Linked DNA regions of Arabidopsis thaliana. The protein of the gene in region 1 interacts with the protein of each later gene in a pairwise test. Each region holds a gene or a part of one and is shown on either strand. Other genes may lie near its edges.

Region 1 (6,681 bases):
ATTTTGTTGGCTCTATGTATATAACTTTAATACGACGATTAATCAATGATAAATTACGGTGATTACTATAATGTTAACTCTGTAATCATGTATAGTGTCCTTCCAAATCATATTGTTATTTACTACAAGGTCGACATCGGACATGTGTATCCTTCGTGTACCGTTCAACCTCACGCCTTTTGCATGATTGATTTGTTTGATTTTCAATAAAATTTGGCAACAATACAAAAATAGCCACGTAAGTCTCCCGTGTCGATGAGACTACTACGAGGTGGATATTTATTAGACGTACCAAAAAGCAATGATTTGAGTTAAATTGCTTTTCACTTGTATGTTTGTGATTATAATACTTAACAGATGTTCAGTGATGCTATTTTTATCTACATTGTGTGGGTATCAGATTTGTAGGATATCAATATCATGAACAGTTGCAAACTCATCGAGTAGATATGATTGTAAATTTTTATTTTTTATAAGGCTGTTGATCAAATATTCAAATGACTGGTGTCTTATGCTTGATGACAATAATATAGAGGACACAAATATTTAGTCCACTTGTTTAGATTTGATGCTGCGATAAGCCAATAACGACGTTTATTATATTTTTGTCTGAATTTTCCTTCTTCTCGACTACTATAGCTATATGGGATTGATAAAAGTTTATGGCCAATATAGTTTCCGTTATATACTTATTTAAAACATTGTACAGTTTTGAAAACAAAACTGTGACCACAAAGACAAAGTCGACCACCAGGACAAAACGAAATGGGACTTTAGTTTCTGATTTTATTTGTACATCTGGCTTTGTGTAAATTGAGTTAATTACAAAATAGGCATTTGTCTTAAGAATTTATTTATTAAGACATTTCTCATATGTCTTCACGAAAACATGTACTTATTTCTTGTGAAAAGTCATCTCTAATATCATTTCATTGGCCTCATCTTCTCAAGCCGAGAAAGTCTAATTAATGTTGTAGTGTTGTGTCGTTGTATCTGTGTATGCATCGCAGACTGTCAACTAAACGGTTTGGGTTTACAAGTCCAATTCTAGGGTATATCGTTTTCACTTCTTCACCTATTTTCACATCATCCTACCACTTGCAAAAATGGAATATCAATTTCTCACTTACTCCAGAAGGTTAAAATCGTCCGAAATCAGACAATAAGCGGCCCATTCAACTGTGCAACATACCTCTTTTGAAATTATTAAATTTAAAATGCCTATATTCGATATAAGCTCGTGTAAGTTTATCTGTAAAGCAAGCTCTCATTGTCAAAATCCATAACTCATATAATTCTTGAATGGTTATAGAAAATTACAGATTGATCACAAGAAAAATTGATGATATTATCTTTTATCAACACAAGATTATACAAAATATCTACACACAGCCAAAGGCCAACACGGTTTTTCTCTCTTGATCCCCATACTCAGCTCGCTCATTAGCCAGGATATCAAACACACAACTCTTACAACTTTATATGCCTAAAAAGCTTTAATCGTGGTGTCATAAAAAAAAAGCAACCCAAGAAGATAAAAATTAAGAAATTAAGAAAGATTTGCATCCCTTTGATTCAATCTTCCAGACTGGTGAGTGACACAGATTAAGCCTCTCTCATCTTGTATCACCATTGACCTGCAACGACGCATCTTGCATCAGTTTGAGACTGATACTGTTAAACCGTTCTCTCGAGTACTGTCTCGAAGCTTTTCTCCAATCTGTTCCTGTTTTCATCATCGTTACAAACTCTTCGTAACTTATTCTTCCATCCTACAAAAAAAACAATTTTCATGATGGTTAGTTCTCTATGAGATGGGATTTTTTTCAACAAGAAAACGAGAGTGAAATGGTGAAGTTAACCAACCTTGTCGGTGTCAACATCACGGATAATGGCATCAACAACTTCTTCACTTGTACCAAGTTCGTCAGACAAGGCTTCCCTTAACTCCTCTATTTCGATATATCCGTTATTGTTTTGATCAAAGAACGCAAACGCTTTCTTGAGATGCTCGTCATTGCCCATTTTCCTTAGGTGTACCGATATGGCAATAAACTCGTCACAGTCCAAATATCCATCTCTATCGATGTCTCCCTGCAAAGTAGAAGAAAACCATCCAGAGCTCAGTTAACTGCATTCAAATCACACAAAAACTGGTATTGAAAAGTAATGGTAAATCAAAGCTCACAGCATCCATCAAAATTTGTAAATCATCTTGCGGAATGGCATGACCAAGTTTCTGCAACCCGATTTTAAGCTCGTCGATGTTAATCTTCCCTCTTTGGCTTGTGTCCATTATTTGGAACCCTTCTCTTATACCTGAAGCTTCTTCATCTGATAAATGCTCAGCAATAACCTATCGAGATAACGTAACAAGACCAAACGAAACTATTGTTAGGCTTTTTAGATCAGAAGAGATATACATTTTCGGATAGTTTATAAGTAATATGTATTTTACCCTGAGTGCTCGTTTCTTGAGCTTGTTCATGACGGTGAACTGCTTCAACCTTGCCCTCACTGTTTCACCCAATGATACATTGGGGGCTGTCTTTGCATTCTGTAACCACGGGTGATCTGAGGAAAATGAAGCAAAGACCGATTAATACTCTTTGTCTGTCTCAGATTCCATATAAGCAAATTGCATCATATAAATCTGTACCTAGGACTTGTTGAGCTGTAAGACGACGCTTTTGGTCAGGATCAAGCATTTTCCTGATAAGGTCTTTTGCGTTTTCAGAAACCTTGGGCCATGGGTCCCTTCTGAAGTCTAGTACAGATCGAATAATTGCTTGTGCAACTCCTTGTTCAGTTTCTGAAAATGGTATAGAAAAAAACAGAAGACCAGGTTCATTATTCTTATGATCACTTCTTCATATACTACCCCTGAAGACAACATGTGCTACAGACGGCCCAAGAAGAAGGAAACATAGACTGACAAAACTAACCTGCCCAGAAAGGCGGGACACCACATAGCAGTATGTAAAGAATTACACCTGCACTCCAAATATCAACTTCTGGACCATAATTCCGTTTTAGCACCTCGGGAGCCATGTAGTACGGACTACCAACGATTTCGTTAAACCTCTCGCCTGCAAAGAAAATAACGGTGTGGGTTAAGATTATTGACAAACCACAAAGCAATCAGCTATCTACTGAGCAGAAAGACCACATTACCTGGTTTAAAGAAAACAGAGAGACCAAAATCAATCGCCTTAAGAGGTGCAGTCTCCTTCTTGTTTCCAAACAAGAAGTTCTCAGGTTTCAGGTCCCTGTGCATTACCCCATGCTTATGACACACCTGCAAGAACACACTCATTAATCTCACATCTAAAATCACTCCACAAGACTTTCAATTTACATGAAAAGAAACGAATTTTGAATCTTTCTGCAGCAAATTGAGCCCTTTAAAGCAATGCTACAAGTCAATAATGTCCAAGAAACTGAAACCAGTAACAAACCAAGACATTATACGAGGCCATTGCAATTCTGCAACAAGTAAAGACTAAAGAGATACAATAAACAGCAAAAAAACCTTGACGAACCTGAACAACTTCCATGATGGTCTTAGTGACAGCAGCAGCAGCTCTCTCAGTATAATGCCCTCTAGCAACAATCCTATCAAACAATTCACCACCTTCACAAAGCTCCATAACCAAATGAACAGCATGCTCATCCTCATAAGTCTCCTTCAAAGTAACAACATTAGGATGCTCAGGCATATGCCTCATAATCTCAACCTCTCTCCTAACATCTTCAATATCAACAGCTGTCCTCAGCTTCTTCTTCAAAATCGATTTACAAGCAAAAACGTCGTCTGTCTCCTTATCAGTACATAGATACGTAACACCGAATTCTCCACGACCTAGCTCTCTCCCCAACGTGTATTTAGACTCGATCTCACGACCTGTTGGATCATTCAAAACGATAAGCTTAAGAGGTCTTCCACCTCCATCTCCACCACCGTGGTGAAGACCGTAATCAATCGAGAAAGGGTTTTGCTTCTTCCTTCCTTTTTTGGGTTTGTTATCGTTTTGAGCCAATGATCCTGCTGTTCCGCAACAATTACCCATGACTTTTCCGATCAAACCCAAATCAAAACCGATGAAACTTGAGAGATTGAGGACGAAATTCCAGGAAAGTAGGAAACTTTAAGAGAATTCTGGAAGAGATGGATGAGAAAAAAACGAAGGAGGTGAAGAACAATATATGAAAGGGTGGAAATTTTCAACGCGTGAATACCAAGAAGAACGTCAAATCATTTGTTCGAAAATTAAAATTGCGAAAAATTAATTACAGAGAGAGAGAGAGAGATGATGATGGAAGGAAGGTCAAGAGAATCTTCTTCCCTCCCTTCTTCTCCAGCTGCTCTATGATTGTTTTTTTTTCTTTTTTTGTCTGTTTCTTTTTTTCACTTTAAATTTTTAATTTTCAAAGAATGTTTCTTACTATTACATTACTCTAATGTGAAATCAAAATGCCTTCAGCTTTACCAAATTACTATTGACAATATTACCCCTATATGTGATTTTAATTATTTTTGGTGAATATATGTGATCTTAAGTTAAGGCTTAAATGCCGACAAAAAAAATTAAGGCTTAAATAGTTAAATGTCCACCAATTGTTTTTTTTCAAACTCCTGCAGAATTTTTTTTATTTTTAGAATATTTTTGTTCATTTTAATTTTAGAAAACTCTTTATTTTTATAGAATGTCTAACAAAATTCTAGCACCAAATAAATATATATCTGTGAAATGAATCATACAAATAATTACGAAGACAGGGGTGTTTCAGGAATTTTACCTCATGGATTAAACAGAAAGCGGAGTCTGTGACACGTTCTTAAACTAAGCGCCTTGGAAATAAAAAAAAGTTAAGGGTGAAACCGTAAATACGCTCGTGTTTGGGTTCATAAATAAGCGGCCACCTTTATTTTATGTTCTGTTTTTTTTTTATAATTAAAAGGTCAAACACGGCGATTTTGACTCTTTTTAATCACTTTCGTCGGACCCAACTAACTAATTTTTTTGACTTCGATACAAAACAACCAACATATGTAATTACTCAAAGTTATTTGCTTTTTCTGTCAAGTTGATGATTTTGGTTTTGCACTATAAAACTTCTACCAACAAATCGATAAACGCATTTTGATTTATCAAAATTTAACTGATATAGAAATAAATTTATTTTTATTTTTTTGTCAACTAATTTAATAATTGTTCAGATTACAGATATATGTGCAATTGGGTCGAAACCTGTATTTAAAAGTAACATAAATACTTAAAATTTTACTTTAGAGTTAGTTTATATATAAAATAATTAGCAAAGTCAACGGAGTATGAATGTGGTAAGATACTTTATCAAATGCCTCTAAATTAATATCAAAGCTCCTGATGGACATTCCTTTCCTTACACGAGTGTTTGTCTTACTCCTACCAAGTCAATGATTCAATTTGTAATTTGTTTACTTAGATTACCGTTACTAAAAAAGAGAGTTAAGTGCAATATATAATTAGGCAAGAAATGAGGGGTTTTATACAGTACACTCTATTTTCTTTAGTATTTGATCATTTACCAAAGACTGAGTCTTGTTTGTTAAAACGACCAAAACAAAATATATCTATGATATTGATGGACAAATAAATAGGAGAGTTAACAAAGAAAGGGTATGTAGATTTCTACCAAAAAAAAAAAAGGGTATGTAGGCCCATTATGGCAGAAGCAAAAACCGAAAATAAGCCTTTCTTAATCAGCCCATCTCAAAATCTCTTTACTTCTCTCTTTCTTGCACTTGTGTGTATAAGGTCTATGTTTTGTTCACCGTAAGAGTGTGGTAAGAAATACATACAAGTTGTATGCAAAAAGGTTTTAGACTCGTCTGAGCAAGATTTTAGTGGGTTCGAAATTCCATTCCTGAAATACGTAGGGTTTCGAGCTTTGCAGCCTGAATTAGTAAATTGTGGCGTCTTAAATTACATTTTTGTTAAAGCTCTTAAACACATGAGTGACAGGCCAAGGTAGAGAGAGTAATTAAATGAACAGAGCTGGAAACTAAGTAAGAGCTTGAACCTTTTTTTTCTTTTCTTTAACTCTTTAGTCGTATCAGTCTCAGCAGATGGAATGACAAAACAATACATGTAAACAATTTTCTTGGCTTACAAATAACATTTTATTAGTTTTTATGTGGTGCAGACAAAGAAAAAAGCATACAATTACAAAATATATCAGTACCTTTAAAACTCTTACATTCTATATATAGTTATATACACATTGATTCCCAACAGAAAATGGTAGCCTATATATATTGAGACATTTGGATGTAACTAAAACTAGTAATAGCTTAGCTAGGAAAGAGAGAAGAATGATCGTTTGGCCGGAGGTCGTCCAACGGCTCTCATGAGATTAGCAACTTCAAGAACCCTCGCAACCTCCGTCCCTCGTTTACCTTCCGCCGTGGCTCTCCTCTCCTCCGCCTTCCTCTGAGCTTTTGCCACTTTGTTTTGTGTTTTCTCCATCGCCTTCGCTCTCCTATCTTCCAGTTTCCTCTGCATCCACATATATGTATCAATCGCATAATCTATTATTCCAAAGACAACATCGACGTCTATTTAGTCAGTCTTTTGGATAGCTTTATCACATTTCAAATATTTGATATATCACCACCATTCAAGGATCTATCGTTTA
Region 2 (5,720 bases), on another chromosome or scaffold:
TGTTGAATACTTTTCTTGTTTCAATTTTTTCCTTTGCAGCCATTGGAAAGCCTCCACCTAGTTGGGGAACAAGAATGAAAATTGCAATTGATGTGGCAAATGCTTTGGTAAATATTCCAAAGTCTTTCATCTACATTTTCTCTGTAAACTGATTTGATAATATATCTTTTACAGTTTTTGGTTCTTGGCTGCACGTTGTTCTCTCCTCCAGGAATATCTTCATTTCTACTGTGATCCTCCTCTCTGTCATAGAGATATTAAATCAAGCAATATATTACTCGATGAGAACTTCGTCGCTAAGGTATGTAGTACTGCACATCTTCTGTGTTAGAGAACCCTTTGGTATTTGGATAACTAATAATGTTTTCTTGGTGCAGCTTTCAGATTTTGGCCTTGCACATTCGTCTAGAGATGGCTCTGTTTGCTTTGAGCCTGTGAATACCGATATCCGTGGAACTCCAGGTTTGGGAGAGATACTGAACAGAATAACTTGACTACTTTTGATGGAAGCTGAGTTTTAAAAACTTGAAGTTTTTTCAGGTTATGTAGATCCGGAATATGTAGTAACGCAAGAGTTGACAGAGAAGAGTGATGTGTACAGCTACGGAGTTGTGTTGCTGGAGCTCATAACCGGGAGAAGAGCAGTTGATGAAGGTAGGAACCTTGTGGAAATGTCTCAGCGGTTTTTGTTGGCGAAATCAAAACACCTCGAGTTGGTAGACCCGAGAATCAAAGACTCTATTAATGATGCTGGAGGAAAACAACTTGATGCAGTTGTGACGGTTGTGAGATTGTGTACCGAGAAAGAAGGCCGGTCTAGGCCATCAATTAAGCAAGTCTTGAGGCTGTTGTGTGAAAGCTGTGATCCGGTGCATAGCGCATTTGCTAAAGCGGTTGAAGAAGAGATAGGCTGGGATAGTAGGAAGAGAAGCAATTTGAGAATTCAAAGAGGTGATTCCCGGATCTTTGGTCCATCGTCTAGTACTACTTCCAGGTCACATTACAGCCGGAGTTTACCTCACTCTCCAATTAACGGATTTTCTTTCTGAGTTAGTCACATCTTCTCTATAGCTAAATCTGAAAGTTTTACATATGTTTATGAAAATTATGAATTCATATTGAAAGCTCTCATACTCTACACAGACTGCACTCTTAGTTAAATTCAGCTCAAAAGATTTCTACATTGTAAGCGTCTCTGTAATTTCTCCTGTACAGTAGCACTATCTTCTATTACATATTACTCTCCCAGTGTCTTCCTTTTGAGTGGTCCTGTATTACATTAGCAGGTTCTTCTTGCTTTGACTTCACCTTCTTACCACGGACCGGTAAGGGTTCTTCTCAAGCATTGTCTTTTGGCCAGCAATGGAGGCTGCTTCGAAAATTCCTTTAGCTGCAAATTCAAGTACTAGTATCAGTGAACTGTGTGTCATCAAAATGACAATAGAGCTACATTTAGACAGACACAAAATGTCTGGTAATGTAGAGACAATGATGGTGTATACATGAAATATACATAAGTAGAGGAAAAACGTTATTACCTCACTATTATGGGTTTTCATTATTTCAGCCTGCAACATAGAGAGACCGCAGTTAAATAACTGAGCCAGCTAGACTCTCTATGGAGAAGCAATAAAAATGGTAGAAGAAAAAAACCTGTTTCTTCTGCAAATCTTGATTCACTAGCTTGAGACTTTCAATCTCAGCTTCCAGTTCCAAGGTATAAGCCTGAGGTTTAGCCAAAACATCAAAATGATTTCAAAGTTCTTGAAAAGAAAACGGTAATGGCAGTTTGGTTAGATGATATTGATATCAAAGTTTTTGAGAACAAAACGGTAACTTTACCTGTTTTCGAGCCCTTGATCTAGCAGCGGATTCCCGATTCTTGATCATTCTCTTTTGCCTTCTCTCAACAACCTTCTCCAGGCCCGTATTGCTTCTTCTTCCCCGACCAAACACGTAAGGAACTGGTGATGACCAAGTATTGTTTTCTGCACTGCTCGTCCCAGGAGAAGTAGCTGTAACAGTACCCCCTGCTCCTCCCATATTACTGTTGGCTGGACCATCTGCGCTAGTCTCAAATAAACCCCTGTTGACCATATTTACAGGCGCCGCAAATGTTACATTCGCTTGTTTTGGAAAGATAGTTGGAGGCAGTCTCTGATGTGGCTGCTGCAACTGCTGCTGATGTGGCTGCTGCTGCTGCTGCATGGTTCCACCAACTTTGAGGCCTAAACCAGGTGCTTGATTCATGATCATAGAACTATTGTTCCCGTTGAACGATATGCTGTTTTGATTCGGCTGACCAAATCCAAACTCCAAACCAGCAGCACCGTTGTTAGCATAAAACCCGCTACTACTGTTTTCGTTCTGCTGAGTATTATCTTCTTTAACAACGCCAGCACGGAGTAAGAAATCTTCCAGAGTCATTTCCCCTAAAGTCTGTTGCCTCTCAAGCGCATCCGTTCCAGTATTCCCATTACTACCTTCTTTCGAATTCAGGTATTTCCAGACTTCATCGACAGTCTTCTGACTAAGCGTTCTAGGCAAGGTCAAGGAGCCTTGCCTCTGTAAACCATTTCCTCCCGGAACAAAACCACTAGGTCCCGGGGCTGCAACCGAAGATGTAGTAGTCATAAAGGCTTGAGTATCCTCAGCAGTCCATATGTTCTTGAGTAACTCATCCATATTCATAGACCCAAAATCTTTCCCCGGCTCACCTAATGTGCTCTGAAGCTCATCAAACGTTAAGGAATATAACGAAGACTGCCTCGCCAATGGCTTTGACTCATTCCCTCTAGAAGTATCGCCGCCTAAGTTGTTGATATCAATGTGAGTACCCATACTTCTTTTCTGTTTCACAACGGAATCACTTCCTTCCAAATTCTTCAGTGAAAAAACAAACGAATCAGACCCTTTTAGCTTTACCTAAGAGAGAACAAGACCAGAAAATTGAAACTGGTTTAGGAGTATAACACACCACACAACTATGTGTCACATAGTGCTTTTAAGTATACTTGCATAAGAGCAAGCAAAGAAGACCAAAAGCAAAAGGCAGGAACGTTCATATAAATGTCAAAACTTTATAAAGTTTTAGCCAGAAGCAATCAATCACAAACATATACATAGAAGTGTGTGATACAGAGAGTATAAATTGGATCCTTGGATTCAGAGAGAAATATAAGATTGGATCAAAATCCATAACTTTGACCATTCTTGAATGTATCTAAAAGATAGATCTATAAAAGATTCTGGAGTAAAAGCAAGATCACACAAACCCTCAAGAAGAAAAACAAAAAAGTCTTATCCTTTAATTTCTTTAGGAATAGTTACTTCATTACTACTACTACTTGATTTAGAACATAGAACCAAAAAAAAGACAAAACAGATATTATGAATCGGACCCAAAAAAAAAAAAAGTATAACACTTCAGGGGATGTGATAAGACAAAGACAGATTCGAGAAGAAAAGAAAACGAAAACGGATAAACAAAAAGAAGGAAGCTTTACCTAATATTATAGGCGATTGCTGAAAATAGAGAAGAGCTGCGAGAGAGAGAAGAGACGACAAGTGTGTTTGTAGTAGCTTCGACACGAACTGCCATTTTAAGGGGTTAAGCTTTTTCCTCTTATGGTTTTTTATTTTATTTATTGTTTAGATATTTTGCTTTCATTTTTTGGTAATAAACTAATAAATATCCCGTTTTAATGATTATTAAACATAGTCACTTAATTTAGCTGACAACCACGTTCATTTTTAACCAATAAGAAGCTGTAACGTGTGAGAGCTTTAGTCGCTGATTGTGTCCTTTGCCTTGTTTGTTTTCTTTAAAAATGGGATTAGATCTGATACAAATATCCATATTAACCTTGCCATTTAGACATTATTTCTGATCTTAATTAACTAACCGAAGAAAGTTTGGATAATTATAGTATTTCAATTTTAATTCGCCAACAGAAATTTTTTAAATATCGAATTCTGTGTTGTAAACTGCACAATTTTACTTCAATTCGACTCCAAGAAAATTACTAAAAAGGAAATTGATTTTTTTTTTACTTATGAACCGCAGTAAATTTTTGTTTGATTTTTAGTTGGCTAATTTTTTTTCAAAACCAAAATTCTAAAAAATCAAATCCTAACTCATCTGAAGTTTATGAATGTCTAGTCATATATTGTTGGTGTTTACCGCGATCAAAGAGAAAATCAAACCACAACAATGTTCGTAGATGGTGGTAATCTATGCACATGACAAAATACTCTATATACAATCGAACAAACTACTAGACTAGAGGTTTTTGGTTAAAATTTTATTTTGCATTTAAATAATTTTCTATGCATATAAAAAAATAAGAAATGAAATGGGAATAAAATTATAGTATAGTATCATGTCGGTCGGAACACCAAATGATTAAATTATGTGCCAAATTAATTTTAATATCATATTGTTGTTACTCATGTAAGATATTTTGTGTGCTTGATAAACTGTGATTATTATACATGAATGATGTTGAAACAACGGCAGAAGTGGGTAGTGATTCTTTTTGGGTCCCATCATCCCAATGGTGTGCGAATTTTGACATCAAGCAATAATCATTATATCCAAGCAACCCAAAAGAAGAAGACTTTTAAGAAGATTTGCGTCGAGTTTAATACAATTCACTTCCAAATTTGGAAATTTTGCCCTCTCCTCACTTGGTAAATGGTATGTTGATGATTTCTACTTCTTTATAATTTGATAACTTATTTAAAAGAATTGTCTACTTTCGTGTCACCGTTGGGCCAGCGTATAGAATGAGCATCAAACCATGATAGAGTTCTCCTTCATTCTTTCTTTTTGTCATATATGTGATCATTGGTATTTTTTTTTTTGTCAATATTAATTTAGATTCATACGAGCTAATTCCGGGAAATATTGTTTACATATGTAATCATTGGTATTGTAATGCTAATTTTGTTTCTTTTTTTTTAAAAACTTCCGCTTTCTTGTGGAGCAAAACATATCAATTACCCATTCAACAACTTTCTAGTCTCTACTAACAAACCTCACGACTTTGTTAATCAAAAAAGAAAAATTACCTCTACTACTAGAAGTAAAAATAAATGAAAAGGAAGAGTTTTCTAATGGGTAAAAATCCAAAAAAAAACCTTAACTAATTTTTATTTAAACGTTTAATACCCAATTGTTTTTTCTAAGAAGAAAAATACATGAAAAATACATGAAATAATAAAACTGTGCAATTTAAATATTCAAACAATTAAATATTGTTATTTTCATACTCACGATCTGACAACAAAAATAAAATTTTAATTTTACCCTTATCATCTCAATTAACTATTAATTTTTTAGATTATATGACATTAATTTTCTAATTTTGGATAAAATAATTTTATTAACATATTAGTTTATGGTGTCTAAAAATTTCAAATTTTCATTTTTATTATAATTATTTTATTTTAAAATTATTTAGAGAAAATAAAATATTTTTTAAAGTGGGCGGAACAATCTCCGCTCGAATTTAAATCTTTCACGAATAAAACTATTTTTGAAAAAATCTGAACCCGAATCTCATCGTTTTTCTCAAGATTTTTGACAAAACTATTTTTGAGATTCGGGTTGTGTTTTTTTTCAAAAAAAGTTTATCCATAAACTAAAATCCTAATATTTTTCTCCATCAAAATCATAGAGTCAATTCATCAACAATGGCAAGATACAAACTAAGTAT
Region 3 (6,240 bases), on another chromosome or scaffold:
GGTTTCATCAGTTGAACGATCTTTGCGGATTACGGCATTCCAAGGCACCAAAATTATCACTGACAAATTGATTGGTGAAGCTGCTGAGTCATCATATGATCTAATCATTCTTCCGGTAAGGCTTTAAGCAAAACCCTGCATGTCCTAGTCTCATAATAAACTCATACCATTTCGCTAGTTTACTTCTTCTTAAATAAATCTTGCTATGTACATGTTTCAGTATAACTTATATGCCATGTCAAATCAATGCGCTTAGGAAAAGCTTTTAGACAAACTACAACTGTTGGTTGTTCCATGGTGAGTAATATGATTTCTTTTCTTTGATGGAAATTCCCAAGGGAGGCCATACTGGCTCAGAACGTCTGCAGAAGTCCAAAATTCTCAAGAAACTGCTCAGGGAACAACATGAATCTGGGCGAATATATGGAGCTACCAACTCTTCATCTACCGTTTTGCATAAACATGGTTTACTCAAGGTAAGGTGAAGACAACTATTGTTCTTTTCTTTGTCATATACATGGACAAACGCCATAAACAATTGGAATCCTATTTTAGGAGAAGAGAACGACTGTGTATCCTTCAGAGTCAGACGAGCCTATGAATCAACAAATGATCGAAGGAGCCGAAGTTGTTATAGATGGAAACGTGATTACAAGTTTGGGGCTCGCAACTGTTACCAAATTTTCCCTGGCTATTGTTAGCAAGCTGTTCGGACATGCTAGAGCAAGGAGTGTTTCAGAAGGGCTTGTGCATGAGTATCCAAGGCAGTAACCGTTTGAAAGCATCTTGTTCAAGAAACACAGTTAGAAGATGTCTCATTACTGATCTTAAACCGAAGTATAACGGTCCGATGGTATCAAACCACCTCAACTCCAGAGACTTTTCACAAGTATCATCTGTTCAACGTTGATGCACCTTATCCTGAAGCGGGATGCTATCTGCAAGAATTTTGCCAATTTAGTATGTGTATCTAATTTTGTACGCCCAGTTGGATTACCAGATGTTGATGCTAAACTTGATGTTTACTCTCTTCTATAATAAAGGTGTTGACTTGGGCCCAAATGAGCTAAAGAAAAAATTGCAGACAAGATACAAGATAAATTCACTCTGGTTAAGTCACAAAGATGTTCAAGACAAATGATAAAGATCCATTACATCAGGAAGATAAAACCAAAAGATTTAGGAAAATAGAACAGATATGTGTTTATCTATCTCTGTCAAATCCGCCACACTTCAAGATTTACAATCACCCACAGAACCTGCCTAAACTACGTACAAAGCTAGCTTTCTATCTTCTGAGTTGTTCTATAACTTCGGCGCTTTGTTGGGTTCCTTAGACGCCATTATAAGCTCTACCAGGGACCCGTCAATGTCCTTCGCAAGCATTGCCTTTTGCATCCCATTCCCCATGGCTGGCGCAGAGGCTCCAGAAGCTGCAACAACAAATGAGCCAACTTCCGTTAAATCCATGCTCGTCAGATTAGTCTCATGAAATATCCAAATTGGCATTGCAACATATTCACAAATCTTAAATACTTTATGCAGAGTGGGAAATCAAAAATGTGATGATATGTCTCACTTCATGGTATAGCTTACACTATTCTACTCAAAAGCTTAGAATACTGTCCAAAAGTGTAATTCATTATGAGTGAGAGTTAAAAGCCTAGCCAACAACCATAGAGGATATTCAAATCAAGACAGTACCTGATTTTTCTGCTTTTCCATGATTTCAACCTGCATGAAACATTTGGTCAGTGAATACAACCTCAAGAAAATATGAAAATCTCGAGATTCTTAATTGTGATAGGGAAGAAGCGAGACACACTTGTTTCTTCTGCAACTCTTCATTCAATTCTTTGAGTTGCGCAATTTCTGCTTCCAGTTCCATCGTATAAGCCTGTCAAGCAAGAAAGTGAAAAAGTAAATAACATGGTCACAGTTTTAAGGTTTCTTTAATCTCCAAAATTTAAACAAACACTCACTTGCTTGCGAGCGCGGGATCTTGCAGCTGATTCCCTATTCTTTATCATCCTTTTTTGCCTTCTCTCAATCACTTTCTCCAGAACTGCACCTGTTTTTCTCACTCGCCCAAACATGTAAGGAACAGGGGACAAAGATGCATCCAGGGCGCTCTTTGGAGTCAGATCAGGTGACATCTGGCTTCCAGGAGATACTGCTGCAACCGTTACTCCTGTTTTAAAATCGACAGCTTGCAGTAGATTGTTGTTCATAGGATGGTTATGAATTCCAAGTATTGAAGGCTTCACTTCCTGGCACTGCGAAAAAAGTAAAAACAAGTCATGCTCAGATAACTGAAACATACATGCATATCCAAAACCAGCTTATCTTAAAACATGAAGGCTACGTCTAATATTTTTCAGATGATTGTATTTCCTACAAAATGTAGTAGCTTAGGTTCTTTAGTCACCTGTGTTGCAGGTTGAGAACGGTTAACCACATCAACAGTGTTGGAAAATGCTATAGTGGTCTGTTTGGGAAAAGGCCTCTCCTGCGTCTGTATCAGTTGTTGCGGCTGCTGCACCATCTGTGGCTGCTGCACCATCTGTGGCTGCTGCATCTGTAGTGGCTGAGTTTGAGCAGTCAGCAGATCCTGTCTCACCGCTACTCCATTTCCTGACAAATCTTGAGGTTGGTTTGCAACAAACCCATTACTAGCTGTCCCAAGACCTCCATTACTGCCAAATCCATAGAATCCGCCATTGAAGTTAGTTACACTCTCCACCGGTTGAGGTTCTTCCCTAACCACACCAGCCCTGACCAAAAACTCCTCCAAAGTCATCTCTCCCAGCGTTTGTTGCCTCTGCGGAATTCCGCTTGTCCCACCATTAACAACACCATTTCCAATGTCATCCTCCTTCATCAGCTCCTTCCAGACATCATCAACCCTTTTCTGACTAATCGTCCGAGGCAAGGTAAGTGAACCTTGTCTCTGCAAACTCCCACCAGTGAAAAAACCACCACTTTCTCCTCCCACACCAACAGCTAACCCACCAATGTTGTTACCACCGCCGTTAATAACAGTGTTTCCACTATTACCATTGCTGATGTTGGTGTAACTGGTATTGTTTCCCATCATTGAATGACTTTCCTCTGCAGTCCAAATGTTCTTCAAGAGCTCATCCATGTTCATAGACCCAAAATCTTTCCCAATTCCACCACCCCATGAGTTCTGAAACTCATCAAAGGTTAACGAGAACACAGAGTTCTGCCTAGTCAATGGAAGACTAGTCCCCACCGTTGGCTGCTGCTCACTCACACCATCAACAAAGCTCTTGAAGTTTAATCTAGACCCCATTACTCAAGCTTTCGTACAACTAGGAGGATCAAGCTTCTGGATATTTACCTATAAGAAAACAAACAAGCAGAGAGATTATGGTTTAATTATACATACATCCATAAATTCATCAACAAACGAAGAATCTAAAAAAGCACTGATCTTTATCCAGTTTTAAAGTACCAAAATTTAAGAACCAAATCCAAAGCCGTGAGACAAAATCAGATTTTTATCAGTTCCAAAGCTAAACCCAAACAAAAGATCTAAATGAAATATAAGCACAATGAAGTCAAACAGAGCAAATGGTGAAAATGGAAAGGAATCTCCTTTTAATCAGTAAACAAATCTCCAAAACACCCAATCATATGCTTATTATTCAGCGGGAAAAAAAAATCATGATTCTCTTCGAATCAGTGAATCTGAACAAGAAAACCAATCAGTAATAGACAACAAAAATCGATTCATCAAACCAAAAAAAAAAAGAAAGAAAAAAAATGAAGCAGCTCAGTCACACAAACTAACAAAAAAAAAAAGGAAGTTTTTTGTTAATTTTCCTGACCTTCGAATTTATTTTTTTTCTTTGGAAATGGAAAATCAATAATTCCTCTTTGAGAAATAAAAGATACCTGAAAGGGGTCAGAGCGAGAGAGATGGACAAGTGTCCATGGCGTGACACTCGTCGTGATATAAAAGGGTTGGTTTCTTTTGTTTGGATGCGACTATTATTTTATTCTCGATAAGGTTATTATAGTATTATGCCAATTTGACGTCAGATCGTGCGTGAGCCGTAGAGATTGGGCAACGTGGTCCAATTAGAAACGCCGCTTTTTCTTTAAATCATTATCGATACATTTGCGTTTCCCACCAATAAAATTTCGCAAAGTGGAAGCATTTTTGGCCGTTTGATTTCCTAAACGGCGTCGTCGTTTACGAGACCAAGTACTACTACTAGTACTACATCTTGGAACAAATTATCAAAATATTCTTATAACTTTTTTTTAAGGATAGATAACCAATAAAAATTAAAATTGATGCATTCATTAGCAGTATAGTAATGAATACGAGATTCGTTGATCCGTTATTTGAGTAACAATCTAACGTAGTGTTCACTAACACTTACTTAGCTACCTAATAAAATAGGGATCACACTTTCATTTCTTGTAAGTTGATGCACCTATTTGATCGAATGGTATGAAAATTTGGTTGGAAACAAAATAACCAACGTTATTCCATTCAAGGGAGCGCATTATGGAAAAAAAATTATGATACGATAAGATTTGTAAGAAAAAATAAGAAACAAATGGAAGAAGGGAATGGGTGAACAGTCCGGAATCTTTATCACGTTTGCTGCACCTACAAAGGGATGGTCATTTGCCACGTGGCGCACTCAATGCCTGCCCTCTTAACAATATTTAAAAAAGTTGAAATGAAGCAAACATACAATAAAATTATGATCTTGTGTGTTGATCTTCACATGGTGATTGTGATCTTGTCTTCAACTTCTTTATTTTATTACACCATTATTGAGACTTCTTTACATTTGGACTCGGTACAATACAAGTGACCCTTCGTGTCTCCCATCTTTTATTTCTATTTTCAATCTTTTTATATTATTTTTTCTTTAAGAATCTACTGGATTAGGAAAGTCTACTCTGCAATACATACTAGTATTAAACAAATATGGAACCGTGATTTTGTTTAATGTTATCATATAGAATTCACATGGGACTCGACGACTCTTTTGAGACGTGCTCTTTCCCGAATTAGATTTAATTAATTGAAGTTACTTCTTTAAGGTCGTGTAGAAACAAAATGTATAAATTATAACCACCTTTCAAGAATCCAAAACTCAAAACCAACGAAAGTACGAAACTATAACAACCGGAAGAAACAACACACAACCGAAATGCTAAAACGTTGTTAACAAAAACAAGTTTAATGTGTAACTTTTTTTCAGCTAGGCTAAAATCCTAGAAGGTTAAAAGATATATAACCTTTTTTTAACAAAAAAGAGAGAGTTTAATATGTAAGTTGCAACAACAGGGTAAGTTTGAAGAAATTTACTTTTTCTTAATTCCATGGTAAGATAATAACAAAATTACAAAATAATTCTTACAATAACAAAATTAGATCAAAAACCTAAACCACAATAAAGAAAAAGAATGAAACCTTAGTGTCATGCCCATATATATTTATTACTTTCTATGTGTCTAGAAGACCTAAAGTTGTTAAGAGTAGTTGAACTCTTAGAAAGAGGTCCATTGATTGGATCAAAAAGAAGACCTCACGATGCAAATTAAAAAAACAAAAAACAAATAAATTATGATTAGAAGAAAGCTTTGAGGAATGAGTTATGAGGCATAGCATGATGAGGACATTCAGCCCAACATCAACGTTCGGCCCAAACGTCTGCGCAAGCCCAATCCAAGATACGATTAAGGACTTGGTCATGACTTGACTAAGTCTCTCGCATTTCTGTTTCATTGCTAATAATGTGGAGTATTCCACTAAAGTCACTTTTCCATGATTCCATGTTTGTAGGAGTTAAGCTCCATGATTTGTTTCAAGTTGTTGTAAGGAGGTGAACTCCAAGTATTTATATAAATGAAAAAGCCAAAAAGAGGTAGTCATTATTACCCAAATACAATCAATCTTAATTTGTTATCTTACAAATTCTCTAAGCTTTGAAGAGGGACCATTATAGCAAGATTGTGAAGTCTAATAAACGTATTATTCCTTTGATTTGTTTTTTAAAAAGAACTATTGTCATTTGTCATAGTCAAATGCATGTGAAGTGAATAGCCCGAATAATGTGAGCACGAAGATTTGTTTTGCACCTCTTAACACGCAATCCAAATCACGTGGATCGAAGGTTTTATTGTCAATTATTGGCCCTGCTTGAGCAAACGTATGCTAAAAATACGCTTCAAGTGTACAAACAAACA

The links. The genes of interacting proteins can lie anywhere in the genome.
Region 2: the proteins of CPK32 (region 1) and ABF1 interact in a two-hybrid assay, tested with the Arabidopsis thaliana proteins (one study listed by BioGRID).
Region 3: the proteins of CPK32 (region 1) and ABF3 interact in a two-hybrid assay, tested with the Arabidopsis thaliana proteins (one study listed by BioGRID).

Annotation. Positions count from the first base shown.
Region 1 is NC_003074.8:21,295,282-21,301,962, forward strand, and holds CPK32 (calcium-dependent protein kinase 32), read right to left. Parts: upstream 4,424-6,681; 5' UTR 4,071-4,423; coding exon 3,543-4,070; intron 3,299-3,542; coding exon 3,175-3,298; intron 3,090-3,174; coding exon 2,946-3,089; intron 2,813-2,945; coding exon 2,660-2,812; intron 2,575-2,659; coding exon 2,459-2,574; intron 2,357-2,458; coding exon 2,189-2,356; coding exon of another isoform or gene 2,138-2,188; exon of another isoform or gene 2,095-2,137; coding exon 1,867-2,094; intron 1,773-1,866; coding exon 1,617-1,772; 3' UTR 1,176-1,616; downstream 1-1,175. Other genes in the region: AT3G57540 (Remorin family protein), read right to left, coding at 6,342-6,542. UniProt on the Arabidopsis thaliana protein: May play a role in signal transduction pathways that involve calcium as a second messenger. Involved in maintaining Ca2+ homeostasis in pollen tube tips by regulating CNGC18. Functions as regulator of the calcium-mediated abscisic acid (ABA) signaling pathway.
Region 2 is NC_003070.9:18,397,947-18,403,666, reverse strand, and holds ABF1 (abscisic acid responsive element-binding factor 1), read right to left. Parts: upstream 3,662-5,720; 5' UTR 3,507-3,661; intron 3,481-3,506; exon of another isoform or gene 2,884-3,480; 5' UTR 2,842-2,883; coding exon 1,843-2,841; intron 1,726-1,842; coding exon 1,654-1,725; intron 1,569-1,653; coding exon 1,514-1,568; intron 1,391-1,513; coding exon 1,305-1,390; 3' UTR 1,050-1,304; downstream 1-1,049. Other genes in the region: AT1G49730 (Protein kinase superfamily protein), read left to right, coding at 40-107, 212-301, 378-462, 541-1,049. UniProt on the Arabidopsis thaliana protein: Binds to the ABA-responsive element (ABRE). Could participate in abscisic acid-regulated gene expression.
Region 3 is NC_003075.7:16,293,084-16,299,323, reverse strand, and holds ABF3 (abscisic acid responsive elements-binding factor 3), read right to left. Parts: upstream 3,991-6,240; 5' UTR 3,317-3,990; coding exon 2,429-3,316; intron 2,277-2,428; coding exon 1,983-2,276; intron 1,898-1,982; coding exon 1,826-1,897; coding exon of another isoform or gene 1,735-1,825; coding exon 1,705-1,734; intron 1,434-1,704; coding exon 1,353-1,433; 3' UTR 1,039-1,352; downstream 1-1,038. Other genes in the region: DJ1C (Class I glutamine amidotransferase-like superfamily protein), read left to right, coding at 1-115, 339-476, 556-771. UniProt on the Arabidopsis thaliana protein: Binds to the ABA-responsive element (ABRE). Mediates stress-responsive ABA signaling.